Linked DNA regions of Drosophila melanogaster. The protein of the gene in region 1 interacts with the protein of each later gene in a pairwise test. Each region holds a gene or a part of one and is shown in the gene's direction. Other genes may lie near its edges. The genes, in order: CanA1, CG10943, NaCP60E and hoe1.

Region 1 (10,678 bases):
GAGCGCCCAAATAAGTAAGTCAATAAATCAATTCAATAAAATTTCTGCTGCCTTTTTATATTTGAAGTTTTTGGCTCCGGTTTTTTTTTTGCCAAATCCCAAGCAAACAAATGTGAGCGCAAAAAACTTTCGGCCTGGCAAATGTTTGGCACTCAGAAGGGAAAACAATGAAATGGTGCAGAGGGGCTCGGGAAAGGGTCAAAGGTTAAGAGGGAACGAAGGCTTGGACCAGAAAGATACATAAGCACTGATAGCTGAAAAGTTTATCAATTTGTAAAACGACAGCCGCAGACATAAGGAGTTTTCCCCCCGGAAAAGTGTGGGAGCAATTTTTCCGAGCTGAGCCGTTCGTTTTGAAGAAAAGAGCTTTTCGTCGGGGTTTCTGAATCTGCTGAGCTTTCCACACGGACATTCGCCCCAATTTATTTGCTTTGAAATCAATGCAAATAATTAATTTAAATTAAGTGCTGGCCCGGAGGAAGTGTTTGCTTTGGTGCTTCCTTCTGCCAGCCATCGAATAGCCCACAAATCGGCCATCATTCACACATAACCCCATGCCTGTGGTCACATAACTCAAATGAATTGTTTATACAGCGCCAGAAACTAAACAGCAACAGCAACAGCAACAATTGCGATTGCGATTGCCGAAAAAGTTGAAACAATGAATGAAATGTTTGCGTTGCGTGTCAATATTATCTTTTTATTTCACTGCCGTTTTGTTTATGTGCAAAAAGAGAGAGGAAGCGCCGTTTGGCTTTCTGCGTGCGAGCATAAAAAACATTGTTTTATAAATACTCGGCCAGTGCGCGGCTATTGCTATTTTGGCACTTCTATTTTGGCCATGTCCAACGCAGAAAATGTATATCAGCCCGAAGACTAAGTGACATGCCGACATGACGAAACGGGTGTTCAAAGTGTCAGGCGCGAAATCTGTTGAAATGCGAACAACTTGACTCAACTTGACTGGCAAATTATTTAGCAAATCCCCAGCGTTTGCTCTAGCCATGGCGATCGGCTAGTCTCTAATTTAGATAATCTTGAGGTGAATCAATTGCGGGTGTCGGCCACTTAATCTCGGCCAGCTGACCGCAGTTGCCTCGCCTCCTAATTGCGCCTAAAATGCGCTGCCAACGGCATTTTGGGGCTATTTAAATAGCCGCAGATCGGAAACACAAGGTTTTGATGTAAAGGGAAGAGCAGTACGATGGTTGGTTAACTTAATCGTATGTATTTGCAATAACTCTAATTTGCAAACAACTATTCCACGCACTCAGTGTTTAAACAATAAAGTAGAGTAGTAAACCATACTTAAATACCTATTTAAATGCCAGCACAAACGTATGATATTTTTGAAACATATTAGTGATTGAAAATATATAGTGACACTTATTGAGCTCTTCTATTCCTCGGCGACACTTTCGAAAGTTAAATACCCCGTATTGCCATTGGATACCCCAAGAAGGATGGGGGGCTGGACTGGGCTGAGCTGTCAGCGCTTTTGCCAAAATTTCGCGTTGGGAATGCAATGCTCTCATCGGTCCGCCCATCGCACCCCGCCGCACCCCTTACTGAGCACTTACAGCCCCCTCGAATCCAATCCCACCCACTGGTTAGCACCGGAAAGTATTTCTTTCTAGTCTGCGGCGGTCGTGTGACTCGCTTTTGTCTCTCTGCGACTTGCGAATACGCGGGGGCGTCCAAGTAAAATCGTCTCCGCTCTTTGCCAAATCGAAAATCCAAGTGCCATCGATGCGCATTTGGCTGGCAGCGGGTGCATTGGCATTGCAATGGATTCCGATTCGGAGATTCCGAATGTGATTCCGAGTGCCCGAAATCGGGCGATCCATCCTTCCCAGCATATATTATGGAACTGTCTGTCTGTCGAGCGATATAGCGCTTCCCCAGCCAAATCGTACTACATATCAATTGACCATCGCGACAAACAACATTGACGGGGCAAAACACACATATTGTTTGTGGCTGTGTTTTTTATGTGGCCATCCCCATCCCCACACAGATAGTTGCGCAAATATTGCCACGCTTCGCATAAAAGTTGCATGAAATCGGTTCCACCAGCGAAGCATTCAAATGAAAAGCAGAACCGCGAATGCGCTATCAAAATATATATAAAAATCAACTTACTATACTATATTGAATGTACTACCCAAAAAACTGTATTTATTTAAATTTAAATCGTTAGATAAAAGCTTTTGATTTCTTATGTTTTTTAATTTTTTTTTTTTAATCAAATATAAATCTTATCCGAACCGAAACACCCCCTTTTAATTGTAGATCGCATATATTTTTGCACGAGGCGCGCACAAAGTCAAGACTATAATTATAGCGACACCCACCTATTGGCGCCCAATTTCTGGCAAACACACACTCGCGCTCAATCACACACAAACACACACACTCGGACGCACGCACACACAATCAATATCACGGTCAAGTTGAAAATCATTGAGAGCGGATGTGGACATGGAATGGGGCATGGAGGTGGAAATGAGGATGAGGATAGAGATGGGGATGGGGGTGGACATATCACAGATGTGTAAATGTCTGTGAAGGTCGAGCAGTCAGTCGCCCAGTCGACGATCGCAGAAGGGCAGTGATACGAAGAAGAGACCAGAGTGCGTGTGTGACATTAACCCAATAAAATAAACAAATAGATGGAACCCTACGAGAGCGTGGTGTATTCTTATTTATATTTTCATTTTCGGCGGAGAGTGGGAGTCAAGGGCGTGAGATCGGCCGATCACAGCCGATCTTCTTCGGGCTTTCAAATTGGGTCTTCTGAATGCCAAACGATGCCAGCGAATTTCGCTCAGTTTCGAGGAAAATCGCGTCGCGCCAACTTGGGAAATGCGTTGCGTCGTGTCCCGTGAAAATCATCGCGACTAAGGCCCCGAGAATCCCCAAAGGATTAGCCCGAAAATAATAACAATAATCGCAAGCGGCAAACGGCGAACTGCAAACAAAGTGTGACCAAAGTGATATATGTGTGTGCCTGTCTGGCCGTCTCTTCGCAAATCCATTGCTATTTTCGTTGTCGCTCGCTTTGTGGGCAATTAGCACAAAGTGTCGAGCAATTTTCCGTCTCAATTGAAGTGCTGCTTACCCTTTGCCAAAAGCATCCGTTAAACAATGTGATGACTTAATGAAAAGTTAATACGTCTCTGAATAATTGCAGCAAATTGAAATATTAATTGTTCAACATTTGTTTCGTGTGCGCTGCGGGCGAAAGTTGTCTCTATCTCGCTATATTGGCATTGCCTGGCTAAAAATACAAGAAAGTCCACAGCTATACAAATTATAACAACAAGTTTTATTTATTGCCTAAATATATTTGTGTGTTTTGTGCGCTTCTGTGTTGGTGTCTCGTCGTCCATAAAGACGCTAGGCAAAGGCGTATAATTATCTAAATTCCTGTGTTAGTAACACTTTCAGCACCAGCAAACAGTCAAGCCATTAAAAAATATATATCGAGCTAAGGCATCGCAAAAATCAGCACCAACAGAACGCAGAAAAATTAATAAAAAAAAATAAAAAATTTAACAAAAAGCAGGGGCCGAATAAATAATCAAGCATCATGTCGGCGACCTCCACGCGAAGTTCGGTGACGAGGAAATCATCGCTATCAAAAAGTTCTAGTTCAGACAAATCGGCAAAGTCCTCGTCGAATTCCTCGAAATCTCCGACAGCCGCCAGTGGAAACAAACAGAAAATGCAGTACACAAAAACCAGGGAGCGCATGGTCGATGGTAATGATCTCTACTCTCTATAAGCACTACGGACCCCAATCAAGCATTATCCCAAGCACGATTCCCTACTGCGATTGTATCTTTAATGACATGCGATCATGCTTCAATGGCATTCCAATGTGCTGACCGCCGTCATTAATGTCAAAACTGAGGGTTTCACAAATTATTTCCTTTGAACATTTCAGTCGGCGGAGGCAAGCGTTTCGAAAAGTGTGTTTTGAGAATTGGGAAGTCATGCTTGTAATTTTCAAAACAATAGCATGGCTGCACCTTCTCGAGGAGCAGTACATCGATCGTTAAGTTTTCATGTTTAAAAACTAATAAATGGACTTTTGAAATGGAAACAAACATAGAAAGGAAAACATTTTATAGCTCATGTAAATTTATCTAATTTCAAAAAATGTTCTTTGAGCAAGTTTCAATCGATTTATTTTACAGACCATTTTACAATGCATAATTGCTTATTATGCGCATTATTTATACATAAATAATTTACAGATTTTTAATAACCCATATATTCCGATGCAACTGCCATAAATGTGCTTTTATTAATCAATTATTCGGCATCGTAACTTAAAACCCTTAACTGAAAATGCGGTACTCGCTTTTGTTCTTTGGTTTATTGAGTCCATAAAAATTAATTTAATTATCTTCGAGCACCCATAACAAGCAACAACTGCAGTACATTGGCATTTTATTGGCCATTGCGTCAAAATTCAAGACATTTACCCAAATTATGACAATTAAAAATGGCGTTCGCCCTGACGTTTCGATGTGTGTGTGTGTTCGATTACGTTTGTTTGTTTTGTGTGTGCCAATCAATTTTCGACTTTTATATTCACTCAGTCAAATTTTGTAATTAGCGTACGAATCTCATGTGGCTGCATCTGGCGGAATTTCGGTTTTCTTTATAGCCGGGCCAAGAAAAGCGGCCAAACCGAATGAATATTGGCGCTAAGTTGCAGCACCTCGTTAACCCACATCGCCGTCGGACAGCGATGTTTATTATAATTCTATCAATGCAAGACTACACCGAAAAAAATTCAGGGGAACTGTAACAATACGAGAAACCCCATTTTCAAAGAGATGTTCCATTCACGTCATATAAGATACAAGATACAATATATAATTAACAATTGAATCCAGGGGCTTCTTCTTCTGGAAATGGGTGATAACAATTTACTTAATAATCTTTACTTAATAATTTGATTAATTTCTTTGTTACTCCCCTAGATGTTCCACTTCCGCCCACCCACAAGCTGACCATGTCGGAGGTATACGACGATCCGAAGACCGGAAAACCCAACTTCGACGCCCTGCGCCAGCACTTTCTGCTGGAGGGGCGGATCGAGGAGGCGGTGGCCCTGAGGATCATCACCGAAGGAGCCGCCCTGCTGCGCGAGGAGAAGAACATGATCGACGTGGAGGCACCCATTACCGTGTGCGGTGACATCCACGGGCAGTTCTTCGATCTCGTAAAGCTCTTCGAAGTGGGCGGCCCGCCGGCCACCACTAGGTACCTTTTTCTAGGCGACTACGTGGACAGGGGATACTTCAGTATTGAGGTGGGTCCATATGAAAATTGTATCTTAACTTATCAGGAATATATACTGCGTTTTCCATTTTTGTATTAAACGGTCCACTTAATTTCAGTGCGTTCTCTACCTGTGGTCCCTGAAAATAACCTACCCCACCACGCTTTCCCTGCTGCGAGGAAATCACGAGTGCAGGCATCTCACAGAGTACTTTACCTTCAAGCAGGAATGTAAGTTGGACTTAACTGAAGTTAATGCCAGAATTTGCTAGTTATGAGAAAGTTGATTTGTTTCCCGTTGATATAGATAAACTACAAAATGAGCAAACCTGCATGCCTCAGTCACTTTACGAACTTAATGCGCTTTTAAGTGCGAATATGCATGCTATAAATCTCCTTCCGTCGCTAATTCATTAATTTTTCTCTGTTGAAGGCATCATCAAGTATTCGGAAAGTATTTACGACGCCTGCATGGAAGCGTTCGACTGCCTGCCCCTCGCCGCCCTCCTCAACCAGCAGTTCCTCTGTATTCACGGCGGTCTGTCGCCCGAGATTTTCACACTCGACGACATCAAGACGGTAATAAAGCAGCGCTGAAATGTTTACAATATAATGCATCTGTGCGGATTTTCTCAGCTGAATCGCTTCAGGGAACCACCGGCCTACGGGCCCATGTGCGACCTGCTCTGGTCCGATCCTCTGGAGGACTTTGGCAACGAGAAGACCAACGAGTTCTTCTCGCACAACTCGGTGCGCGGGTGCTCCTACTTCTTCAGCTACTCGGCCTGCTGTGAGTTTCTGCAGAAGAACAACCTGCTGTCGATAGTCAGGGCGCACGAGGCGCAGGATGCGGGGTAGGATCGGAAGTACCATGGTGTAATATCCATATGATTATCGAACTCCTTCCGCTTCAGGTATCGCATGTATCGGAAGAACCAGGTTACGGGCTTCCCCTCGCTGATCACCATATTCTCCGCCCCCAATTATCTGGATGTTTACAATAACAAGGTATGAGATAGTTCCACCTCTCTCCCTCTGCTCACCCTGCTCACCCTATCTCTTTCTGGGTTGTTTATTTATCTTGCTGTTGTTGTTCCTGACTTTGCTATTTTTAAATAACGAAATCTTTTTTTGGCTGCATTGCGAGCTGGTGCGAGTTTAAATCGCGCTGCGTTCGCAATACCCTCTCTTCCATCTCTTTCTCCGGCACTCGCCCCGTCTCTTTCTCCGCTCGCGCTGATTTTGTCAACCATCGAACCCATTTGACAAAAGGCAGCTGTGCTCAAGTACGAGAACAACGTGATGAATATCCGCCAGTTCAACTGCTCGCCACATCCCTACTGGCTACCCAACTTCATGGACGTCTTCACATGGTCGCTGCCCTTCGTGGGCGAAAAGGTGGGTTCGCACCCAATCGGGTGGGATTATCTATGTATTTTGAGTTCAGTGATGGAACTAAGCCATAATACTCGAACTAGAACTTTCAAAAGTGTCTGAAATCTTTATACGTGATTTTAATATCCAATTTACCATGCCATTCAAAGGTAACCGAGATGCTAGTCAACATCCTGAACATTTGCTCAGACGATGAACTGGTGGCCGGACCCGATGACGAGCTCGAGGAAGGTAAGTTTGGGGATCCACAGAGCGATTCTGTCCGTACTAGACTGTGTGTCAATGTCGCAGTGCTTTGGATGTTGTGGGGCCAATACGGATACACGTGAATTACAAACTAATCTTCTATTAAAAATATTTTCCGAAACCAAATATCGAAATACGACAACTGCAATCTACTACCAACACCCATAATAATTTCTGTACCAACACCACCACCAACTTTCCACTCAAAACACGTCCAAAACACGACCAAAAGAGCTACGCAAGAAAATTGTGCTCGTGCCGGCGAACGCGAGCAATAATAACAATAACAATAATACGCCCAGTAAGCCAGGTAAGCCAGGTATTAAACGCAGGCCCAAAGTGAAGCCAAACAGTACCGCCAATGCAAATGCCACTGCCATTGCCACTCCCACTGCCAAAAATAAAAATGCCTGAGCCAACGAAAATCGCCTGAGCGAAGATAGCGAAAAGCTTAGTTATTGCCTTGCGCCCTGCTTTGATCGGCTTTTCAGCGAGTTTTCCAGCTGATTACCATTACATTTACCCCGTGACCCCGCGAGATTCCGTCTAATCGAGCCCTCAATTCGCAGCTTCCATGTCGGCGCTGCGCAAAGAGATAATTCGGAATAAGATTCGGGCCATTGGCAAGATGTCGCGCGTCTTCTCCATCCTCAGGTGCATAATGCCTCCTATAATCCCGTGGATTCAGCTAAATAATTCAATATTCCCACATCCCGCAGGGAGGAATCCGAGAGCGTGCTCCAGCTGAAGGGTCTGACGCCCACGGGCGCCCTGCCAGTGGGCGCTTTGTCCGGCGGAAGGGATTCCCTCAAGGAGGGTAAGTCAACACACATAGGTATTCTCAGGATCAAATTGATGTAATGCGTGTAGGGACTTTGAATTATAACATATGCCTTATAAATTAATCAGGATATAGTTCCGTACACTTTGACCACAGCCCTCCTTATGTCGTAGGCCATCCAATTTGTTTCGTATAGGTAATCCCCTTCAGGAACGGGAAGGACCTTTGTCACCTGGTGATTAACGAAGTGTATGGGTAGTTTTTCGATCACGAGATCGTGCTGTATAGAAAACCAGAAACATAAGCACAGATCGGATTTAATTAGGGATATACGCACATCGTAGGGGCAGTTGTGATTCATGTTGGTGAAGGGCCTAATGAAATCATAAAGGTAACTGGCTATCGGGTTCGACTTTGTGTTGTTCATGAATCTACATGCATCCAATGTGATATTGAACATGAAAGGTCTATAGCCATTATATCCATTAAATCGTTTGAGAATTACTCCGTTGATCTGAGAAGAGTAATTGTAGAAGAGAAAATGTTGTTAACCAAATTATTTAAATACCTTGACTTTGGTAATTGGCGTTTTAAATAATTTTGCTTTGATCGACACATACTTGTAGCTACGATTAACCGACTTTATGTAGCAATACTCAAAGTCGGAAAACTGTTTATCCAAAGAATTGCACATGATATTTGTGAACTCAAATTTCGATGATATCTGAGGAAGATTTTGAATTGATTCGTATTATACCTAATATTTTAATAACTCTTACCTCAACTATTGAAATTGAAAGAGCCAAAAGCGCCACTAAACCACAATGATTTACACCCATCTTTCGATATCGACTAACCAGTGTAAGTTGTTTACAGAACCCTATTAATATTCTATTGAATCAGCAACATAAAAACAATTTACAAAGCAATTAATAGCTCCACCAAGCCAGAAAATCATAATGAACCCACATTATAATGAGTTTAGTATAGTTTTTGTTATCAAAAAAAATAGTTTTTAGTGTCTACTAAAATACTTTCACCACAACTCAGTCGATGTCGTAGGCAATCCAGTGGGTTACCAGTTGGTAGGCTCCTTCGGAAAAGGGCAACTCCTTTGTTCCTTAATGGTTTACAAAGCCAATTTCCAGTTTCTCCACAATCAAATCGTGCTAGAATCGATCAATTTCGAGTTAGCCAACACAAAGTGTTAGGACCTACTCACACCTGCAGGCATCCACTGTGACATTGAACATGAATGGCTTATAGCCGTTGTAGCGCTTGAAAAGAATGGCTCGATTAAATCTAAAAGGAAGACTAGTTAAAAGCCATTACAATTCGATTTGTAGCGAGTTTTAATCTAGATGTTTGCTTGAATATGGTTTAATTATTTGCCTATCGCGGCCAATTAAACAGTGCTGATCGCAGACCAGCCATCGTTTTTATACCCGTTACTCATAGAGTGAAAGTGTTTCTCTGGCAGGAGATAATATAAATTCTTGATCAGGATCAATAGCCGAGTCGATCTGACCCTGTCCGTATGTCCGTCCGTCCGTATGAACGTTAATATCTCAGGAACTATAAAGGAAGGTTGAGATTAAGCATAATCTAAAAACCGAATATAACCCGTCCACAACATGGCATATAATCGGGGTAGTCGGCTATAGCATGCTGTCTTGTTACTAGATAACTAAGTAATAAACCTTCCTGATTAGTTTAATCGAAACTTTTTGCCAAGACACTGCCACGCCGATTATTAATTGAGCTGTTTCCCATCCCCGTCCGACTCTATGAACCCTCAGCTCTGCAAGGACTGACCGCATCCTCGCACATCCACTCCTTTGCGGAGGCCAAGGGCCTGGATGCGGTCAACGAACGGATGCCGCCCCGTCGTCCTCTTTTGATGAGTGCCAGCAGCAGCAGCATCACCACGGTCACAAGGAGCAGCAGCAGCAGCAGCAACAACAACAACAATAACAGCAACACCAGCAGCACCACGACGACAAAGGACATCAGCAACACCAGCAGTAATGATACCGCAACCGTAACCAAAACGAGCAGGACGACTGTGAAATCGGCCACCACCAGTAATGTGCGGGCAGGATTCACCGCCAAGAAGTTCCCATAGGGGGTGAAGCACTTGCCTGCTCAACACTGATTTCTATCATTTTCGTTTCGACCTTCTGTTACCCATTTAAGTTTACACCTCGTTAGGGTAAGGTCAGACGTGGCCATAAATTAACGCAAACTGTTGCCACATTCTAATTTCGACACAAAGTTCTGATAACTTCTCATATGAGATAGATAAACATGATACTAGGACACTAGCTTGCGCCAATTTATTTCAGTGCCTGACCTTAGCTGTAGTTAAAATTTTATACAACAACTTTCTCTAATGCTAGTCATAAACCAACAAATTGCACCCTGCGATTGCTGAGCTTTCGATTGCAGGTGCATACTTATAGAATCTCTCCGCAAAAACTCCCGGGCGATATTAGCAAAAATTTATAAGTGACATGAAAAACAGTTTAATAAAAGGTGGCTACAAATAGCTAAACAAATGAGTGCTTGATACTTCTTTTGTCTATCTAGTTTTTGAGAAGGGAAAAAATAAAATAACTTAAAGCAGAGACTATGTGTTTTACCTTGGCTTGAACGGATAAGTATGGGTTTAATCTAAAAATTGCTGTACCCAGCTATGTACTTTAGGTGCACTTCAACTTCACATCGCTTGAGCTCTCTAGTCAAGCGTAAAAATCAGCACGACCCGATGTAATAATAATTAACTAAATGCAAACAGAGGGGAATGAACGGGTCCAAAAAGCGCGTCACTTGCAGTGGAAGTTTCCCCATTCCCCATATTCTATTCCAATTTATCTGTTTGGGCATAAAGATAGCCCGGCGGAGCAGATTAAGATTTACAACGCTCTGTATGTCGACCATCTATCATCACCATCCCCA
Region 2 (6,387 bases), on another chromosome or scaffold:
ACGGAATTTAAGAAGAGCACAGCGATTTAAGTTAAGCGCCAGTTTAAGATTTACTATTTTATTTATTTGTGTATTTATTTTTTAGTTTTTATTTATATATAAGCGAAATCAGAAGCTTACTCCTACTTCTCTCTTAAATAACTTTTCTTCTGAAGATTCAAGTACCGTTTGTGTTTAATTCTAGAGCTTTAGCATTTAATCTATAATAATATAAATTTAGTATCTTGCAAATAGCTTCTATGTAACTCAGTACTTATGGTTTAGGAACAACAACAAATTTCTCTACATCTGGTCTGTGCACTTTGGCCAACTTAGGCTTAGATTGTGTGAAATTCTTAGTTGCGGCTGCTCGGGAACCACCCGTTGTTACCACCACCCACTTAGTAGCCCCGCCGAGGCTTTGAATTTATAAGTGCACTCCCCACAGTTCCGGCAATGTTCTCCTATTTTCCTCACTTTTCCAGGCGATGGATAATGGCGAGGGGTCGGTGTAGTGGCGGTGGTGGTGGGGGGGGGGGTAGATTCCAAGCTGGTGCTCGTTCAGCCAACCAATAAACACGACGCTTATTTCGTTATAAGCTAAAAAGTCAATGATTGCATTTGCATTCTGTTAGATTTCTGCATCGAAATTATGCCAACGTCTGGCTCGACGGCCAGCACCTCAACCAGCGTTCGCCAATTGCGTACACTGAAACAAAACGAGAATTTTATTTATTATTATTATTATTATTAATACGTCAAAGTAGGTATCGTTAGACTTAATACATTATTTAATATGAATAATAAAGTTAATTTTATTTTATGTAACCTACAAAGTATGTTAATTTATACTTTACATTGCATTGATATTAAATTTCATAGATGTTTTATGTACATATATATTATTATATAACTTCATATAACTTTCTTAAGAAAGTGAATTTCTTTGGCTTGCTTTCATTAAATATATCAAATTATCGAAGTAATATTACAAAATTAATTCAAAGAATCTTTCATCTTCCCTTAATATCCTTTTATCGTATTTTTTATCCAAGTGTTTTTGGCCGTCTGTTTAGCCTGTTGTTGCCGGAAAAAGGGCAGTGGGTGGTGTTGGGTGGTGGGTGGTGCTGTCACTTTCTGGATGTCGGAGGATGTTCTATGTTGGGTGGGTGGTTGATTGCAGTTCAGCTCGGCAGCTTGGCAGCCTCGGCAAGTGCAAAGGCCTTTTGCGTGGCAAGGAAATTAGAAATGGAAATTATTATCGTAATTCGTAATGTTGCTGCAATTGCAGTTGTTGTTGTTTTGTTGTTGTTGTTGTTGCTGTTGTTGTTGCTGTCCGTTGTTGTTGCTGTTGTTGTTGTCTGTTGCTGTTGCTGTCATGTAATTACACAGCACCCAAACAACCCGAAGAGCGTTGATTGTCGTTATTAGAAGTAGTTTGCTGCTGCTCTTCTGCTTGGCTCCACTCTTGTTTTTGTTGCCCCAGCGAATCGTGCTTCGTCGTTCTGCCGCCGGATACCAGCCAGCCCCGCATCCCCTCTTCACCCCTTCGACATCCTTTCGACCCCCAATTCGATGGAAATTTATGTGGCGGAAGCACCCCAACCCTCACGCCTGAAAATACTGAATGTGGTGCAAAATTCGACTACCAAGGAGACTAACTTGTCGTTAGAAGTCGGCAAATAGTTGTTCTAAAGGGAAAGTTCTCAAGGGTGAACTGAAGTCGCAAACACTACTTTTTATTTGCAATTCAATTTAAAGACATTGCGAAAATGTAAAGCAAGTTGTATCAATATTAAGAATATTATAATAAATATCTAATAAACAGAAATAACATTGTTTCTTTAAAACTATAACACTAGAAGAAATACAATCATTCAATGAAGAAATGTTCTTTTATTGAATATTTCTAAAATATATTCCTAAATATTTTATAATAATTAAATAAAAGTATATATTAGAATGGCCAATTAAACGAGCCAATATACATTATCAAACTAATAATCGAAGAATTAGTATTATTGGAAGGTAAGAAGGTAAAAATAAAACTAAGTCCTGTTTTGGTTCTAGATAGTTCAATACTTTTGAATGATAACTTCAAGGGCCTAATCACTTCACTGCGGTTCATTGGCCCCGGATATGGACTATTTAATATTACCAAGGGTACTTGCCCCATAGTCATTGCTGCAGAAGGGGTTAATAGTCGACCAGGGACAATGACATTGCGTTGGAGGTGGAACCAAAAGCTGGCAGGACGAGGCCTAAATATATGTATATAGGCAAGGAGTGCAAACTTCAGCCAATCGATAAAAGTAGCTGCATATGCAATCGAGAGGGCCCGAAAACAGGGCCAAGCATTTCCGCTATCTATGTAAAGCAACGGATTCGAAGAGTGAGTGGAAGAGGAAGTGGGCGGGGCCATTGAGGGGCTGCGTATCCTGGTGCAGCAAAGTTTGCCTATCGTTTCCGCTTCGTCCTGAAACGAAAGTGTTGTCTACGATTTCCAGCACTTGCTTAAGAAACTTAAAAACGAAACGGGAAGGAGAAATAAAATAAATTTAATTGCCTACCTTGTTGATGTTGTTGTTGTTGTTGTTGAACCTGCTTGTCCTCTCGACTTAACCTGTTTTCCTGCCATTTTCTGACGCCAGCGAAATGGAAAATGATTTTACAACGGCCAACTGCCGAAAAGAACATGGAAAAGAATAAATTAATTCGTATTTGGCCGAAGCAATCGCCCCCGTTTTCCCAGACTTTATCTTTTGGTTTTCATTTCCAAGCGGATGCCGTCTAATTGATTCAATTTGTATTCATTTTACATGTTACCCACGATCTGGATTCGTAATTAATGAAAATCCAAAATTCTTATAAAAAATCATTTACATTTATATGATAAAATTGGGAAAGTGGAAAAGCTGTGAGATTGCAGGGCAAAAAAAATAATACTCAATCAATTCCGAGGTTTTGAGGCTATACCTTATCAAGTGTGCAATATTTAATCAAACTCCTGATTAGATTATTGTAAAGCAATGAGTAACACCAGGAGATATTCGATTATTATAGAAAAAAAACCTAAATGAACCTTTCAGTTCGCTTTTTCCTACCAACCAATGCGGTCTACATATTTTCTATCGCTATGAATTCAAGAAGTAAAAGCGCTATATTGCATTTAAGTTCAGATGACACAGAATCATTTTCGAAGGTATAAATAGTATTTCTTTTTGAAGAACATTAATTTTAGCATTTATCTTTTTAGGCGAATTATTGTGACTGCAACGATTTCGATGAACCGAAAATGAACTTAAAAATGGTACTTGAAAATAAGCTAAGAGACATGGAATTTAAATTGGCAATTGCCAACGAAAAGTTGGCCATATTTGACGATAAAATTAAGGACAAAAACGAGATAATTGAGGCCTTAAAAATGTCTAACAACCTTTATAAATCAGATTATAAGGATAGATTTGATGCTCAGGCAAGCATAATTGAAAAACTAGAGGAGGAATTGTCAACCTTAAGAAAAGCGAAGTTAAACTCTAGCCAAGATCTTGAGACAACCAAAAATAAATCAAAGTTAAGATCAACAATTTTTTTTTTTAAAGAAAGCGAAAAGGAAAAAAAGTTACTTATTTCTTCCCTCGAAGCGCAGATTAAAGAGAAGGCTAAAACGGAAATAGAAAACTCACAACTTATTAAGTCCTTAAAGTCTCAGATAGGCGACAATGATGTAAAGCTAAAGGACAAACAAGATCTTATAGCAACACTCGAAGCTCGTTTGAAAGAAAGCGATAGTAAAAATATTGAAAACGAACATATGATCCAATCTCTAAGCGTTAAAATGTGTAGGATAATTTCTGAAGAGAAAGAATATAAATCTCTTATAGCAACCCTCAAAAATCAGATAGGCCAAAAAAGCGAAACACTGGAAAAAAATAAAGGGATAATAACTTCACTCAAGGCTCAAATAAAGGAGAAAGATAAAATAAATGGTGAAAACTCAAAAGTTATAGCAAATCATAAGGCACAGATTAAAGAAAAAGATGACCAAATCACATATTTGGAATTGGGTCTAAATTTGGAAACTTGTAAAACGCGGGAAAAGGATGAGCTATTAAACGATCAAGCTGCTACCATAATGAAACTGCAATCTAATCAGGAGAGAGTGAAAGAAACCCATAAACTTATACCATCAGAGGGTCAACAAATTTCCAACGCTTTGTAAACAAATTTATTTAATAAAACATATATACTTTTATATCGCAAAGAAGAATGTTGTACATTTCAGCTTTATGTCAGCAAGGGGACGCCATCATGCGGGAATTTCAATGACGACGGTGCTGCCACCCTCGTGAAAAAAGGTCCTTTAAACCGCTATTCCCAAATACGTTTAAATATTTCCCCATTATTCAATTTACTATAAAAAATTCAACGGTCGTTGATTTTTTCGGGAAGTCCCCTATTTTTATATTGCTAATCTGTAGTGCAAATACTTCATCAATAAATGGTTATCTTACAATTAGATAATGGTAATAGTAACAATAAAAAAATGTGAGCTGTATTATCTAGCCTTTGATACAAAAGACAAGGTGTTCCAGAGAATTTGCTTTTTATTACATTTGACAGCTTATCATTCAAGATAACCGAATAACCAAAATAAACCTTTTTTCGTTTGCGGTTAGTCAGTGAGAATTAGCTGTTCGAGGGAATGGCTAGCGCCAAATTTGAAACGATGATGGAATATTTTGGTTTAGAAGAAAAAACAACGATTTTTAACTTAAATCCTTACTGTTTATATGAAATATTTCGTCAAATTCACAAAAACTGCGCATTCAAGCAAACCAATGATATATTTTTAAAGTACAGTGATCTTATAAACTTTGCTATTTGCTGTGATCATCTCAACAGAACGTTCAAAAAATGGAGTCTCAATCTTTATAAGGAGCTGTGTATTGAAAACACATTCCTCAATACGTACATATGCGTAGAGATTAATTTCTCAAATCTTCATTCGCACATTTATGGATTGTCGAACAGTGAAAAGAAAATGTTCTGGATGAATTTCAAAAATCACATTATGGATAACGAACAACTGGAGTCATTAAAGGTAATTTACGAACCAACACGTTACTGGAGTGATTACTTGGAAAGATTTGAGGACCTCATAAAATCGCTTCATGTCAAGCCAAAACTGAGGGAGCTCTCTGTTTACATAAATGGTAGATAAAAATTTTTTAAATTTAAATTTAAAAAAAAGAATAACTAATCAATAAATCAATGCTTTTAGGATTCAGCCTTGAGATCGTGCCGCAGATCACTCATCTAGAAAAACTAGAGCTGAATGTCCGAATGCATTCCAGTATCCTGGTCGAGCTGTGTAAACTGAATCCAAACCTACGAAGACTCATTCTAAGGAATTCCGAAATATTTGGCAGATTATCGGATATAGTACCTCATTGCAATCAACTGGAATATCTGAGCTTTGTGATGAAAGAGGTAGATGCATCCGAGTACGTAGCCCTGGCCAATTTGCCGCAACTTAAGTCATTAATTCTGTGTGGCGAGCATCTCGAGGGATCGCTTGTGAAGCTTTTTAATCGCTTCCAAGAACACCAGCACATCCAGAGCATATGTATCCCGGAAACATATGTCAGCAATGCAGAGGCCATCGCCTTGGCATCCATTCGCTTAGTGGTTTCAATTAAGTGCTGTTTGCGGGATAAATCGATCTATTCGGACTTGCCGTTAAGCGGAAAACTTACTCATATCTACATTCTGGGTCACCCCATGCAATATAATCCAGACAATCCGTATTACAATGAAAAGGAGGAGGATTTTCTCAAAGTGACTTATAGGGCACATAGACCGTTAGCCGTCGTGCGTGCATATTATCAATATTGGCAGACCAAAGATCCAAATCTATTGCAATTGGCCTTCGATGAAGATTATTTGCATGCACATCGTCTCTATTGCATAGGCTGGTATGATGCCAAGATTTTACCAGCTACAATGCACAATTCATCAGAACAATTCTCGGTCTCTATCACCGGAATTGTGCTCAATAAAAAGGTATCGATTTCCGATGCAGAACTTGCCGTACTGGCTTCCATACCCACGCTTACCACCATTCGATGTTCATTTGTTCAAATAGAGCAAATAATCGCGGTTAAACTCCAGCAACTTAATGAGATTACAAATACCGCAAATCGAGTGGATAAAATTAAAACCGAATTTTGCAATATTCGTTTCGTTCATAGCCACGAATCTGTGACGCTCGTACTGGAATTCTTTGTACAGTGCATCCTGAGTTATGGGAGTATCCTTGCTCCTCTTGCCAATTTAAGAAATTTGAAACGTCTGGAGATAAAGGGAAAACTTATGAGCGGATCATTGGTGGAGCTCTTTAGGGCT
Region 3 (7,353 bases), on another chromosome or scaffold:
GATACCAGTCCTGCGACAGGATCTGGTCCATAATGGGAGCGGAGATGGCGCCATCGCTCTTTGTGTCCGCCTTTGGGTAGGCAGCTTGCACCTCGCGACGCAAATAGGCGTGCAGTTCTCGATATAGCGGCATTATCTCCCACACGACCGCCTCCATTTCAGCTTGAAAGTTCTCCGTGTCGTAGTTAAGGTACCACGTGCGCGAGGGCGTCACATGCCCGTTGTAAGTGGCAGCGATCCGGAGAAGCCTAACGTAGCCGATGAACGTGTTCTTGGCCACGTCCTTCTCGTTAATGGCCCTGCGCCAGGCCTTCCAGTTGATGACCAGATCCTCGTATAGCTTGGTGTGCATGTTTTTGTTCATGATCTGCGGGTACATGGCCAGCGAACCACGGGCGGAGCAGTCCTCGTAAGGGCAGACCAGGGGTCCGTTGACAAAGTTATGGATCTGACGTAGAAGGTCCTTGGCCTGCTCGTAGTCCTTTGGCCGCAGTCCCTGCAGCTGCAACTTGGCCATTCGCTGCACGCGCCTACGAAGAAGTGGGTCATTCAATTCAGCCACTGACACAACGCTGAGATTGCCCGCTAAGTCGTAAAATAGTCGATAGGTCTCCGCCTCTACCTCCAGCTTGGAGTTGAGAACCTGTCCGCCCAGAGGTGACTTTCCTTTGGCCGTGAGCTGCACAAAGATCCTGCGGTTCAGACTCCACACGTGGCGCATGCGGTCTTTGGCTCTATCAAGTATCTGCTTGGTAGCCAGTTCATAGCTGGACTGGCCGATTCCGAAGGTCACGGAGAGCAGAAGGATTAGCGATACTCCTAAAAAAGGCAACCGCATTTTGCCTTCGCTGGCTTCCGTTTCGCCTTGATAAGGTTATCGGAGTGCTTTCGAATGCGACTTGGGATTTGCTTCCGACTCTGACGAAAGCTCGAGCAGAACTGAGTCCAGACTGCCAGTCGAGCCGCAGGCTTATCAATCTAAGTCCGGGGCATTGAGCTTATCTGTAATTGGGAAAGAAACCCAGCTAGCGATCTCTCCAAGCAAACGTTGCGTATACGTTACGAGCTTGGCATTATTTATACGCTGAGTGTGCCAGCCCGAGGCGGAAATCGCAGTGGGCACGGCGGGGAAGACATCCTTACACCATAATAGACTGATTAACAGCTGCTGGTTTTGTTAGCCAGTGGCCCATATTCAAGCAAAATCATTTTGACATATTCCTTCCGAAGAAGAGACAGCGGAGGTAGTCCTTTGCCCCGCGGTGCACCAGCGGAGCATTCGGAATTTAAATCGGAGAAATATGGGGAAGTTCGTCGTTCGTGTTGCATGTGGCACGGCATTTGTTTATGCCGGCTGACCTACAAGCAAACGTGAGGGCGCAGGGGGACTCTGCTCACGAAGGCGAGCGTGAGAGCATTTCCCGCACGAGTCCTTTTCGAGAGAATAGGGGGAAGTTCGCGTGTGTATTTTTTCATCGCTCTGCATCGTGGTCGCCCTGCAGATTACGTCAAACGGAAAGGAAACCCGTTAGCCGAGCTCAGTCTCCGACAAACCTTAGAACCGAGCAGTCGCCATGCAAGCGCACGTATTTACAGTGGCCCAGTGTCATAGTGTCCTAGTATGAAGTGAAAAAATCAAGGAATATGGTGAAAAGTGAAAAGTGAAAGGCAGTAAAAAGCCTGAAAGGGCATGGAACATAGCGCGGAACTCGCACCCCTACAGCCGCACAGTGAAGCGCGTTACCATCACAAGTGCATTATTCGGTGCGATGAAAATTCTTCAGCGCCCAAAAATAGAGTGAAATGTGTGCTGCATATTGTTGTTGCTGCTACTGAGTTGCTTAAGGGAGGGGGAGAGGCCACGACGGAAACTAACCTACATTTTCGCGCTCTTTCGCACGCTTTTGCTGACACACACACAGGCACACGTGCGGTGCCAGAGAGGCCACCGTGCTATCTCTTTCGCACTCACCCTTTGGGCCGCGAAAGAAATCAACAGTAAATTGTAATAACACTTCTTAGACTGCCAGTAGGCTTTTGCATGTGTGTGTGTGCGTGTGTCAAACAATGTGCGTGCCCGAAGTTTTTTGCTTTGTTCTGTTTTTGTTGCTGGTTCCGTTTCAACATCCCCACCCACTCACAGTCACATTGTTGCACAGTTGCGACTAAATAAAAATGTAATTAATGTAAAATAAAATCAAATAAAACAGCAGCAGGAGAAAAAACAACTGGATCGGGAATGGTGATTGAGCCAGTGTTGGGAAGTCGATGTTAAAGTGCGAGTGAAGGCGAACGTGTGCAAATGTGCTTTGTGTTCGTGTGTTGCAGGCCCAAGAAAGTAAAATACGAAAATAGAAATAGAAATTGCCGGAGTGCAAACACACAAGCGATTACATAAAGCCCAACTAGCATCCCCAACATCCGACAACTGCAACCAGCGGAGAATAAAAAAAAATTGATGGCCAATGCTTAAAGGTAAAATCGGATATTCATACGCGTGTGCGTGTGTTAGTGTTTGGGGGGAAGTTTGGGTTCCAACGCAACAGCAATGTCCTGGTCATAAATTAGCCCTTGATGTGCACTTAACTAGGTGGCCACACTTTCTCTTCGTTTCGAAGCGCTTCGTTCTGTTCGCACGAAGGAGAGAGCTAAAATGGCGGAAGGGGACCGATAACAAAATTCGTAGCACAACTTTAGGGGCCAACTGGCAAAGCTCTGCCAGCCGCACTTTTATGAGCCAACTTTAAAACCAACCGCTGGTCACGCCCAGAAAGCAGAAACCAGAAACAGAAGCGAGTATCCCCGCCCCAAAGAGAAAGACCCCACCGAACAATTGAAAGCCAACAACACACTGCTTAATGCCTCGAGCGCCGCTCTCATTGTTGTAATAAAAGTGTTTTTGCCGATTTGTGTGTGTCTGGGACAGACCAGCAAATGCAGGTGGATCTCCAATGGCACACGACAGCCCAGCCTCCAGGCGTAATGGCACATCCCTGCCACTGCCAGCGAATTTCCGCCAGCAAACATCACATCAACTGCCATAACGGGGTGTTGGAAACTTAATATTGAATATTTTATGGGCGCCTTCATCTACCGCTTTTCCATTTTTGCTGCCAGTTGCGAGTTGCCAGTTGCTCGCAGACGTGTCAAGAAGTTTGCGAGAAACACAACAGGAAGCGCCGGCCTACACAAGCACCTACACACCCATACACATGCCCATATATGCACAACAATGCCGGGAGCAGCATCAACAAAGCGCTGAGCAATGAGCAGCCCCCGACCCACGCCACAGCCTACGCAAGCTCATTGCTTTTTCGTTGGGCGCCATTTATCAATTCTTGTATCTTACTTGTGTTGTGTGCGTCTGTGGAGAAGATGCTAGATTGTGTGTATGGGTGTGCCCATAATGTTAATTAACTTTATCTCGCTCAAGCTTTAAGTCTTGAAGCGGCACTCATTTCCCGGCCCTCGCCACAATTCGCATTCTTCCCCTTCAGGTGCTTATCTCTTCCGTTACGCACATAACACATACGTTGGCCGAGTGAGTCGTTACGTTGCGTATACGTACTGCACTGGCAGAAAGGTTTTTCTCAGTCTTGAGGAAGTCCCCATTGAGTGCTGACTGCTATCTTTGTTTCACGGAACCAAATCCGTACATTTGTTCCTCTTTTCGATTGTCTTGTATTAATTCACAGTATAGTAGTAGTAGTGAAATAAAAAGGCTTGGTATTTGAAAAAAATTGGCAGAATGAAGAGAAATTATAATCGTATGTGTTCAAAGGACACCTTTTTTTTATTTTAAGGTCATCAATCTGAAGATTTTTTCTGAGTGTGAGCCGCGTGCCTTGGTTCGGGTGCTTTGAGCTGTAGGGGATTAGCGCGCTGCCAATTAACGTTACATGACACGACGCAGAGCAATTGCGGGCAGAGGCGATTTAATTTACTCTCATTCCCCCTACTTGCATAAGCTTAAATCTTTCCACTTACATCAATCTCTTTCTCTCGTTTAGAAAACATACGCATCGCATCGCAAAATGTAAAGCAATAATCAGCACAACAAAGCCAAAGCTCACAATAGAAGTAGACGACCAGGCTGAGCAACTGAGCTGGGACGATGCCAAATGCCATTATTGGAAACGGTCGTAGTCATAAGATTTGCATAGTATAGCAATAGCAGCAGACATCATGAAAGCCCCAAGCGTGATAAGCACAGCAACAATAGCAACAGCAATAGTAGATACTAGGCACAACATGGTTAACAAAGGGAACGGTGACAATATAATCGGTAAACTGAGCGATCGACTCGCTTGAATAGTGAGATAGACATATGCCCAGTGTTCGAAAATCGAGTGAGAAGCCTGGCAAAAGAGAGCGCGACCAAGGCATGCAGCTGCCCTAAGGACCTCGCCCAGGACGACGACGACGACGGAGTCGAAGGACCAAGAAGCAACCGCAACCAGAGGCAGCACCCAACAAAACGACGACAATCAGTCAAGATGAGTGATGATCAAGCGACGTTCAACGATGAGAAAGGTGAGTCCCCTAACCGCTAAGCCCTCCTGATACTGCTATTGATAGTTTTCTAAGCCACCCGGCCTCATAAATATTATTCCCGATGTGACCAGGGGGGAGTTGGGTAACCGGGAGGCCATCAAATCTGTATGCGGGAGTATGCATGGTCAGGGGGCAGGTGTCACAGGGCAGGACTTCTGCTCCTTCTCCTTCCTCAATCAGGTCCTCCGACATCCTGACAGCGACACCTGCACGCCAACCAAAAGAAAGACGTGCACAGTGGTTCTGCACACACAGAAGTCTTTTGACTGGAGTTGCACGACTTCTTTCCATAGAGAGCAAGTTTGTTTTATTTTTTACAATTTTATTAATTTCTCGGCCTATTTAAGTTCACTTCTGCATATTTTTATCCCTGAAACCAACAATTGGCTTAAGAATAAACTAGCAGGTCAAGTTATGAGCTCAAAGATTGACATTCTTCAACAGCCACCCACAGTGCCATATAAAAGGCAGTTGGGGTGGGGGGACCAAAGGCATTTCCTTTTTGTGCGTGTTGAGCGTTTTCCTGCCACTTCCCGAACTCCTGTCCTGCTGTCCGGTCCTGCTCATCAACATAATTAAATAGCATTGCTCATTGTGTGCCGGTTGTGCCTTGGATACGGGGCATGTGCTTGGGTCTGGGGCACTTGGGTCCTGTGTCCTGGGTCTTGGCCAATAAAACGAAAATGGAATCGAACCAGCTTAATGGCGGGGCAGAGTGACCCTAAGGCCGTTTAAATAAATGATAAACAAATCGAAAATGGGAAGCGCTTTTGTCGGACCGAAAAGTTTCGGCTGATGACTGGCCATAAGTTACGCAATCGTTTTTGCAGGCGCCGATAGAGAGCGCCATTTGTCCTTACAGCAGGAGTGAGTGGGTGGGCCTTGGGTTGATAAGTGGGCGCAGGGCGCCATTGTCAGCGGAGTATATTCACTGGGGAGGTGAACAATGCACAAAGGCCAGCAGGCGCTGCCATCTGCGGATTACGAATATGAACGGAAACGGAAACTAATTAAATATGTAGAGCAATTGTTGCTGCATCTCGCTTTATCCTACCGATTCACTTTTTCACTTTTGTTTGTCCCGCATCACTGCAGCCAGTGTTTCGGTTTCTCCTTCGGCTCGGCTTGGGCTGGGGCTTGGACCGACCACCTTCCTTTCCGCCTTGCCAGTCTCGAATTGGATTTGGTTTTTGGCCAGGGCCAGGAAGCAGTCGAGAGCAAGCGCCCCAACTGCGAGGGGCGTAATTGCCCTACCCCCTAAGCCTCCGCTCCGAGTCCAAATCCCAATCCCATTTCAATTTCCATTCCCATTCCCGTCACCATTGAACTTGCTCAAAGGTCTGCGCAGCTGCAACTGCAACAGAGGCAGCAATGCCAGTTGCAACTGCAACAATGGCTGCACTTTAAACAACAAACTTTGAAAGTTAAACCAGGAAATCCGAAGCAAAGCATGCAGTACATAAGGAGTATCAAGAGAGCACCATAATATAGCAGAAAATCGAATTGACTTTTTCAAGACTTTCCCCACAATTCTAAAACTGTTGCCCACAATCTCGTGAATCACTTGTAGCACACCTTTTTCTCTCTGTGTGTGGATGCAACTGGTTTTTTGGGAAAACCACGACATTGCACGTCGCTAGTTGCTTTTAGTTTCTGTATCGGTGTGCAATTTCCTTTTTGTTTTTGGGCGCTTTGAGAATGACTTTGCTTCCGCGTGAAGATGCGACGGCAGGTCTGGAGTTTCGAGTCGCGAGCCCGGGTCGATTATGCAATATGGGGAAGATGTGCGTCTTCGTTGCATCTGATGTTAATGTGCGACCGCCAACCGGTTGCCCATCGTCATTGCCGTCATCGCCGGGGCAGCAGAAGCAGCTTCATCATCGTGAGCGTGGCCCTCTCTAGCTGAAGATGTAATCCCCATTGAAAGATGCTCTGATGGCACTGGAGTGCAGCCCATTTGCTCCAGCTCAGCGGCTTCCAGTTCGAACTTCATTCGGCACAGCATCGTGATTATGACCGGCGATGTGGCTTTATTGGCAACAGATTATTGCGTCGGTGTCCCGCTTGCTGCTCCCAGCTAGTTCCTTATGTAAGCCCGCTTTGTTTACAATCCGAAACAGTTTAAATGTATATTAATTATTCGGCAGTGATGGAATCTGCCGAGCGAGCAGTCAGCTGCCTAGCTCCGTAGCTGCCAGATGAGAAATGATAATCAGCGACGTAATCGAAATGGCCGGATGGCCCCGATTCGCTGGCTCGGCCCAAGTCACTCACTGCTAATGAAAACAGTGGCTAATCAACGGCGAAAGCATGGCGGCGGGGGTTGTTGGGGCGTCCAGATTGGTGGGTGGGTGAGTTGGAGGTGTTGGGTGGCCAGTGGCCATGACCTCTCTCCGCTGCCAGTCGGACATCTTGCTGATGTAAGCGCGAACAAAACCCACGGCGCGTTGCCTTTTGCCCATGTTGCAGCGCGGGGGCATGACAAGATATTTTTGATGTTGCTGCAGGCGAGGCTTAACCCAATAGCGCTCGAGAGCCTCTCGCCAAACGGCGACCTGACCTGGCCCAATCCAAAGAACAGTAACTGGCTCCTTCCCTGCCTCACAGCCGCGGCACCACTGCTTCGCGTTGGTAAACAAAATTATATTGATAATTTCCGGCACTGGTACGGCCATCAATGGGTTAATGACTAGCGACAGTGAGCAGCCAGCGGGCAGCAGCCAACCCGGCCAACCCTTGGCCAATCGTTATGCAAGTCTGGACCAACAATAAGGAATTGCCAATAGGAAGTTCGTCGTA
Region 4 (7,345 bases), on another chromosome or scaffold:
GTGGTGCTGATTTCGGTGGGCGAAAAGCATCTGCTGGAGAAGACCATTGATGTGCCAATGGGCGAGGAGGGAAAGTGTGAGTTTCCATCTATTTAGTTGATTTATTTTTATTTTTTTAATTTACATTGGAACATTGTTTTTCTAATTAGTTTTCAAGCTGCTCCAAAAACCCACTGGTGACTTCCGCTTGAAGATTCATGGCGCTTTTAGAGAGCTCTCCACGCTGGATGCCCCCGAAAATGAGACTTTGAGCTTTGGATTTCTGACTGTGCAGCCACAGGTGTCCACTTACATTGGCGAGAATCACAGCCAGGTGTTCCAGGTGAGTATTACATAACTACTGCACAATCGAATATAAAGTTGGCAAGATGTAAGCTTTTTTTTTTTTGGATTTTTCAGGATATACTTCCAGCGTGGCGTTTACCACTGCTCTCCGAGGAGGAACTGATGCTGCGTGCTCCGGCTGTGACCACCAATCGCACCTACCAGATGACTCAGGAGTTAGATGAAATGTTGGCTGGAAAGAACAGCGAATTTCGCTTGCATATCTATAGCGATGTGGAGGTGGATTTGGCCATTGTTCTGAACTATAATCCCTTGATAGTGAATGCCAGGACAGGGAGCATCCTGGCTGGTGTAATCCTGCTAATCTTCTATGCACTGCTTGTTTGGGAACTCTTCGAAAGAACCTTTGTGGCCATGATATGTTCCATTCTTTCGGTGACGACTCTAGCCTGTTTTAATGGTTGGTTACAGAACCCGGGTATTTCTTCATTTCTTAATTATTTGAAATTCCCCAGATCGTCCCAATATGGATGAGATTATCCAGTGGATGGACATGGAGCTACTGACTCTACTCTTCTGCATGATGCTGCTCATTTTGATACTGACTGAAACTGGCGTATTCGACTACCTGGCCGTATTTTGTTTCGAGATATCGGGTGGCAAGATCTGGCCCATGATATATAGTCTCTGTTTGGTCACCTGCCTGGTGTCCAGTGTGCTGGACAACATGACAACCGTGCTGCTCCTGACCCCAGTGGCAATCCGATTGTGCGAGGTAATGCAGTTGGATCCCCTGCCCGTGGTGATGGGCATTATAGTGCATGCCAATATCGGAGGAGCCCTGACGCCCATCGGAGATCCCATCAGTATTATAGTCAGCACCAATCACTTTATTGTGGATAATGTGGGTATAACATATAGGTTATGCAAGCTGTTATATAGATTTCCCCTACCTTTTCAGGATGTAACTTTTCCCACATTTGTGGCCCACACATTTCCAGGTGTCATTCTAGCAGTTATTCAAAGTTGTGTGTACCTGCGCCTCTTCTATCACAATATCGATGCACTGCGTCTCAATGAGCCCAAGGAGATGAGTGAGCTGCGTAGGGAGATGAAGGTGTGGCAGAGAGCCTTGAATGCAGTGGCCTCCTGTTCCAAGGATGCCCAGCTGGTGAGGGGAACGCTCCAGGCTAAGATTAAGCAACTGAAAAGGACCCTTAGAAGATTGCAAAAAGGTGTGGGCTCCACGGAGGTCTATACGAATACGCTGGACGAGCTCAAGCAGAAAGTAAGTGGATTTACTGAACTGGGATCTTTATAGCTGAGCAATCCATTTCCAGTACCCCATCAAAAACAAGACGCTGCTTTTGCAATCCGCTGGAGCCCTACTCTTCGTCATTGTTTGCTTCTTCATCCAATCCGTGCCGCACTGGAGGACATTACCCCTGGGTTGGGTGGCCCTGCTGGGTGTGATCCTGCTGCTGATCATCCTCAATCGCGATGACATGGAGCACTTGATGCACCGCATCGAGTGGACCACGCTGCTCTTCTTCGCCGCCATGTTCGTGATGATGGAATGCGTGGAGAGATTGGGAATCTTCGCCTGCATCAGTGAGCTCACCGAGCACGTTATCCTTTCGGTGGGAAAGAGTCATCGTCTGGCCATGGCCATCTTTATGATATTATGGATGTCGGCGCTGGCATCATCCATATTGGATAGTATTCCGGTGGCAGCCATAATGGTGAAGCTGGTGACCTCTCTGGTGGCCAAGCCATCGCTGGGACTGCCCCTCCAGCCACTGGTTTGGGCTCTGACCCTGGGCGCTTCGATGGGCGGAAATGGAACGCTCTATGGCGCATCAGCCAATGTCATTGCAGCCGGAATTGCCGAGCAACATGGCTATAAGTTGTCCTTCACCCGATATCTGAGAACAGTTTTTCCCATGATGCTGGGACAGATCACCCTGATGACTGTCTATCTACTGGTGGCGCATGTGGTCTTTGAATGGCATTGAGACTCCCTATTTAATACACATACTGAATAACATATTATTGTATCTAATGATGGAAAATGTTTTTCACTTCGAATCTAATCGTGTGTTTTTTTGTGTGAGTTTTACTGTAGTCTTTGTCCTTTTACATTCGCCTCTTGATGTGTTTCATGTGTTTTTGGCATATAAAATAAGAATATTTATATTTAAGCGTTCATTTGTGATTGGCAAATGTATAAAAATATACCATAAATATAAAAGTACACATGGTTTTTCGTTCGCCTTCGTGGAATTTGGCTGGACTGATGGAAATCACTTTTGGTAGTCCATCAAGGCGGTGTTTTTAATGTCGTGTGAAATGTTATAAATTTAGACTTTATTGTCTAAGGTCGAAGTGGGGAAATCGTGAAAATTCAACAGGCCATAAATACAAAACGAAGGAAAATTATAGATTTGATTTTCAAATTTCAATAAGAGGCAGTTCTACAAGTATTTAGATACATTTAAAATTCGAAGCGATGTCTGTATTTTAGAGATTTCAAAGCACAATATAAACATATAATAAGTTAAATTATAAATATCATAATTCTCGTGTTTTCTAGTTTATCCCATATGCACCTTGGTTTGGAAAACATAAACAAACGTAAATAATTCCTGAGACTGACCATTGCCAAGTTCAATGTTGACCAGAATATCCGCATATGAAAGTGCTTGCATGTACATATACATATATATTAAAAGCGAGTATATAGCATATAGTATATGGAAAGAAGACAACTGCTGGTCAATAAATGAGAATAAGACAATGTGGAAAAGCAGCGAGGGATTTCCTCGGGTGGTTGTTGCTATTTATTTGCTCTGCTACTGCTGCGCTTTCCACACTTTCCACAGCGCTCGTTCCATAGGTAAATTGTATTTTAAGTTCACAAACAAATGGCCACGAGGGATTGCGAATGGAGGAGGTGAAACGGAGGACCCGACCTGTCCGCCATGTGGAGAGGAGACTGCCAGCAGTTTTATGGCAGCCGCGAGAGGGAAAGTCGTGCCGACAACGACTGACTGAATTTTAATTAATTTGCGCCAAGGAATAAAGTGAAAATTGGAAATTGGCTTATTTGGCCCAGACTGGCCGCCCTGCAGGCCAAATAAAAATGTGATAAGCGTACGAAATTACGCCGAAATCGAGTTGGTTTTTTTTTTTGTAAGGTGAACCAAGATGACATCTCCCTATGGATACAGTAAGCCCACCTTTATGATAACGGACCACACTCGCGATCCGTATCATCTGCAGCCGGGTGATGACGACGACGATCGGGATGAGGATGAGGAGCGTCAGACGAAGCTGCAGGAGATCATCAGTTGGCTGCACTTGAATGCCAAGCATCGCAGCAAATGGTAAGTCGGCCGCATCAAGTATACGCCGCGGGTGGCCCATGCAAGTCAGCTTATATTGATATTAAGTATACGCCCGGTTGGCCACCGCCACTCGAAGTTTGAGTTGTTTATTTGCCCGGTTCCGTTTTCTCATTAGCCTGGCATTAAATTGTGCTGCAGGAGATGATGGACCCAAAACTTTTCCTTTTAATGTCCTGCTAAGCTTCTTAATAACGGTCCATTGGTTGCGACTTGTTTGTTTTCCGAGATGAAATCAACTCGAGGACATTTTGTGGATTTTAAGCCGCTGAGAGCCGCAACAGATGGTTTCCATTGAGATTGATTACAATTTATTTGTTTTTTAGTTGAAGCAGACACAGCAGTTTGTATATTTCATACTCCATATGCGTTGGAATTCCAGCAGAGTAATAAATGCGCTTTTCTTCGAAACTCTGATTGAAATGATACTCCTAATCCGAATTAATCATGTTTTTGTTTTGTTAGGGATTTTTTCCATTAGCTTGTGGTTATAACAAAATGCCAGGCACGAAGGTATTGTTGTATGCAATTTGTGTGAATAATTCGAAGAATAGTTGGCATATACCCATTTCCAATCCAAGCCAATCTTTTGTTCGAGCAATTCGCTTCTGGGAACTACCATTCGATATAGGTTGCTTATAATCGATAATGTAATACCTTGGACACGTGCAAAATAAACTGAAGTACGCAGTGCAATGTGGAGATTATAAATAAACAATGGGGAATAAATATTGACTTGCGTTGCATTATATTATTTTATTTATAGTTCTCTATTTCCGTTGGCAAATACGTGGTTCAGCAGCCTCCGCAGCTGTTTGTAGGTTTTTTTGTATTAAGTTAAGCATTCGAATTAAGTGTCGTATTCAAATTAGTGCACTCACTCCCACACAAAAATTATCGGTGTAGTGAAAACCTAGGGTAATGCGAATTACATACGCAGTTGGTCCTCAATTAAAAGTTCCGCCTTGTTAATTAACAATTAAAGGGAAAACTCGAGACGGTAAATCACTGAGTTCTCTGGTTTATAGCGCAGTTACACTTGGTTGCAATAGAGAAGGCTGCTCATAAATATACAGGGTGTGTGGAGTCGACTTACATACTTGGGAGCATTATAAAGCATTCATAAACAACGAATAATAAACAACAAAATATGTACAATAAGCAACAGAATTTCATACAGAAAATGATATATTTATATAAACTTAACGATTTTTCTTATAACTAGTTTCCGGGACACCCTGTTTCCATTTGACATATTCTTGACAATCAAACCTGAAGTGAGCTTAGCTTATTATATAAGCGCTCGTTATTTACATAATTATTGTTTATTTACTCACGCTGAGCATTTGTTGTATACATCTACGTCTTGACCATGTGTAGAATCCACTAAGTACTGTATGCATATTGGTTGCAATTAATTTGCATTTTTGCATTGGCTGATACCAAGTAATTACAGCTAACACATCGATAATTGCCGTTGGCCAATTGGCAAAGTTTATGGATACTAAAGAAAAGAGGGAAGGGTTAAATACAGTTGGGATTATGGGCTATAAGTTATTCGCACTGACAGCTAAACACTTTGATGTGGCTGCCCATTTTTACGCTGACTTTCTGACAAGCAAATGAAAAGTCATTCAGTAGTTTCAAGTCCACCCAGAACCACGTGATCCCTCCACGGAACATGCAACCCAAGTTTGGTGGTCCCACGATGACATACATATATGTATGTAGAGATATGTGTGGAAACTTGTCAATGGTTTGTTGGGTGGGTAGCTTGGTGGCATGAAGGAGGTGCGAATAACTATCCCTGTACATGAGGGTTTTCCGCTCACAATTTTCCAACAAACTGTAAATACACTTTTTCTGGTTGCCAAGGGATGAGCTTAGGGGCTGTAAAAGTTCCGGCTTGAATTTGGAATGTACTATGTGTCTCTATGGGGGCCAACCTTTGAGGCACAATTGAGTGGAAATGAATTATGTATTAGTTGTTATTATGAAATGGAATGTACTCAATAGCTTGGCTTATGTGGTATTACAGTTTTCAACCAACTATATTAATGTATTAAGAACGGAAATGTTAAGAGAAAGTAACTGCTGATAGCATTTAACCCATATAACTCCGAATCAACTGCACCCATGCCCCATATTATTCAGATGGATAAGCCGCAGAGACCTTGGGCGAAGATACAATTGTTATTGGAAGAAACACACCTATTGCGTCTCACTGTGGATATCATCAGCGTTATTATTACTATTATTGCCATCGTCTTATTGAATGTGGGTGAGGAAAATTGCGGAATAAAAGAGCATTAATATTCCAGCTTTAAAGTCGCTCAAATGTCAAACGGCTCGTGGCGAGAAATAATATATATATACACGAGTTCACTTTGAGTTCCTTGGAGTGTGTTTGCGTTTCATTGTCCGTGGCATTAGGGTTTTTGGGATTCGGATTGGGTCTCGCATTTGGATTGAGTTGGGGCACAGCAGAAGCTGTTTGCTGATAAACTCGCCTTTTGTCTGCCCATACAGAAGATACAAAAACGTACGAGAATGTGGCACACAAACCACACATGCAAATGGAACCGCGCGTGGACGTCTATATTGTCGGAATTGGAAGCTTCAGTGGGATTTATCAACTTTGGCCTATAAATAAACAAGCGGACGGCCTTAAATTTGATAAAGCTGCCTTTTTCTGCAGATTTCACTTTCGTTTCTGAGAAAGCCTCGAGAGCTTTCGGCGTGATTCTCTTAGTTACATACTCGTAAATGCTGTATCGTCTCATTTCCATGACTATTTTTGGGCTGTATGACAAGTGATTTAAATTCGCACTAATTGCTCGACCGGTTGCTCGTGGCTTCTAAGCTCTGAATAGCATTAAGTCTACCGATTAATTGAGCAGACTTAAGTTGGAGTAAACAAATGATTAGATTGTGTGAATCACATGTATTTATTGCAGATTCACCACCCATAATAACTTATTGAATACAAAATATTTTCAAGACATTAGACAGAAACAAAGGTAACCAATAGTAACCGAATATATATGTTATTATTAGACTTAAGTGACTTAAGGTTCTATAAAATAATAATTAGCTATAATTAACCACCGATACAAATTAGTTGTGCGTGAGATACTTTTAAAGCACTCTTCTCATAAAATAAACAACTAAAATTCTGCCGGTCTAAAAGACGCAAGTTCAAGTTGTTGGCCATTGGAATCCGAGCGATTCCAGCTGAAAAAAAAACCTCGAGGCATTCAACAGCTATTGAAAGCAGCCAAGTTCCATTCAATTCTCGGCGGCGCTTTCAATGCGCCGTTCAACCGAAAACAGCTGCGACTTCGGCGCCGCACGAAGTAGCAACATGAGTATCGGAATAAGTAGCTATAGCTACGCCTGCATGGCATCGGATCGGCATCGGATGGGCATCGGATGGGCATCGGAATCGGAATCGGCAGTAACCGGCTGAAATAACTAGGAACGCGGCGCCGAGTCCGCAGATTTATTCAGTTTACAACTTTCGCTCGAAACGGACGTGCGACTTTGTCCGGCAATCCGCGTTCGAGTGGCAAACAATAGCTATACAAATAAATAGTAATCAAACAAGCGAGTGCACAATAGGGGCATAAAACAACAACAAGAGAAAAAAAAAGTAA

What was found.
Region 2: the proteins of CanA1 (region 1) and CG10943 interact in a two-hybrid assay, tested with the Drosophila melanogaster proteins (one large-scale study listed by BioGRID).
Region 3: the proteins of CanA1 (region 1) and NaCP60E interact in a two-hybrid assay, tested with the Drosophila melanogaster proteins (one large-scale study listed by BioGRID).
Region 4: the proteins of CanA1 (region 1) and hoe1 interact in a two-hybrid assay, tested with the Drosophila melanogaster proteins (one large-scale study listed by BioGRID).

Annotation. Positions count from the first base shown.
Region 1 is NT_033777.3:31,036,547-31,047,224, forward strand, and holds CanA1 (calcineurin A1), read left to right. Parts: upstream 1-2,827; 5' UTR 2,828-3,002; exon of another isoform or gene 3,003-3,438; 5' UTR 3,439-3,592; coding exon 3,593-3,764; intron 3,765-4,997; coding exon 4,998-5,329; intron 5,330-5,417; coding exon 5,418-5,529; intron 5,530-5,731; coding exon 5,732-5,877; intron 5,878-5,934; coding exon 5,935-6,152; intron 6,153-6,212; coding exon 6,213-6,306; intron 6,307-6,570; coding exon 6,571-6,696; intron 6,697-6,842; coding exon 6,843-6,924; intron 6,925-7,171; coding exon 7,172-7,249; intron 7,250-7,508; coding exon 7,509-7,593; intron 7,594-7,658; coding exon 7,659-7,756; intron 7,757-7,844; coding exon of another isoform or gene 7,845-8,000; intron 8,001-8,057; coding exon of another isoform or gene 8,058-8,234; intron 8,235-8,294; coding exon of another isoform or gene 8,295-8,444; intron 8,445-8,499; coding exon of another isoform or gene 8,500-8,559; intron 8,560-8,748; exon of another isoform or gene 8,749-9,015; intron 9,016-9,519; coding exon 9,520-9,845; 3' UTR 9,846-10,275; downstream 10,276-10,678. Other genes in the region: CG33920 (uncharacterized protein), read right to left, coding at 7,845-8,000, 8,058-8,234, 8,295-8,444, 8,500-8,559. UniProt on the Drosophila melanogaster protein: Calcium-dependent, calmodulin-stimulated protein phosphatase which plays an essential role in the transduction of intracellular Ca(2+)-mediated signals. Many of the substrates contain a PxIxIT motif and/or a LxVP motif.
Region 2 is NT_037436.4:12,859,606-12,865,992, reverse strand, and holds CG10943 (uncharacterized protein), read left to right. Parts: upstream 1-3,072; 5' UTR 3,073-3,181; intron 3,182-3,235; 5' UTR 3,236-3,274; coding exon 3,275-4,201; 3' UTR 4,202-4,276; downstream 4,277-6,387. Other genes in the region: CG32107 (uncharacterized protein), read left to right, coding at 4,709-5,195, 5,264-6,387.
Region 3 is NT_033778.4:24,890,074-24,897,426, forward strand, and holds the start of NaCP60E (Na channel protein 60E), read left to right. Parts: upstream 1-1,540; 5' UTR 1,541-1,764; intron 1,765-2,210; 5' UTR 2,211-2,475; intron 2,476-4,010; 5' UTR 4,011-4,496; coding exon 4,497-4,533; intron 4,534-7,353. Other genes in the region: Ance-5, read right to left, coding at 1-838. UniProt on the Drosophila melanogaster protein: Mediates the voltage-dependent sodium ion permeability of excitable membranes. Plays a role in processing of olfactory information during the olfactory avoidance response.
Region 4 is NT_033779.5:4,928,240-4,935,584, reverse strand, and holds the start of hoe1 (hoepel1), read left to right. Parts: upstream 1-3,200; 5' UTR 3,201-3,492; coding exon 3,493-3,671; intron 3,672-7,191; exon of another isoform or gene 7,192-7,345. Other genes in the region: hoe2 (hoepel2), read left to right, coding at 1-76, 150-322, 400-745, 801-1,189, 1,247-1,573, 1,626-2,300.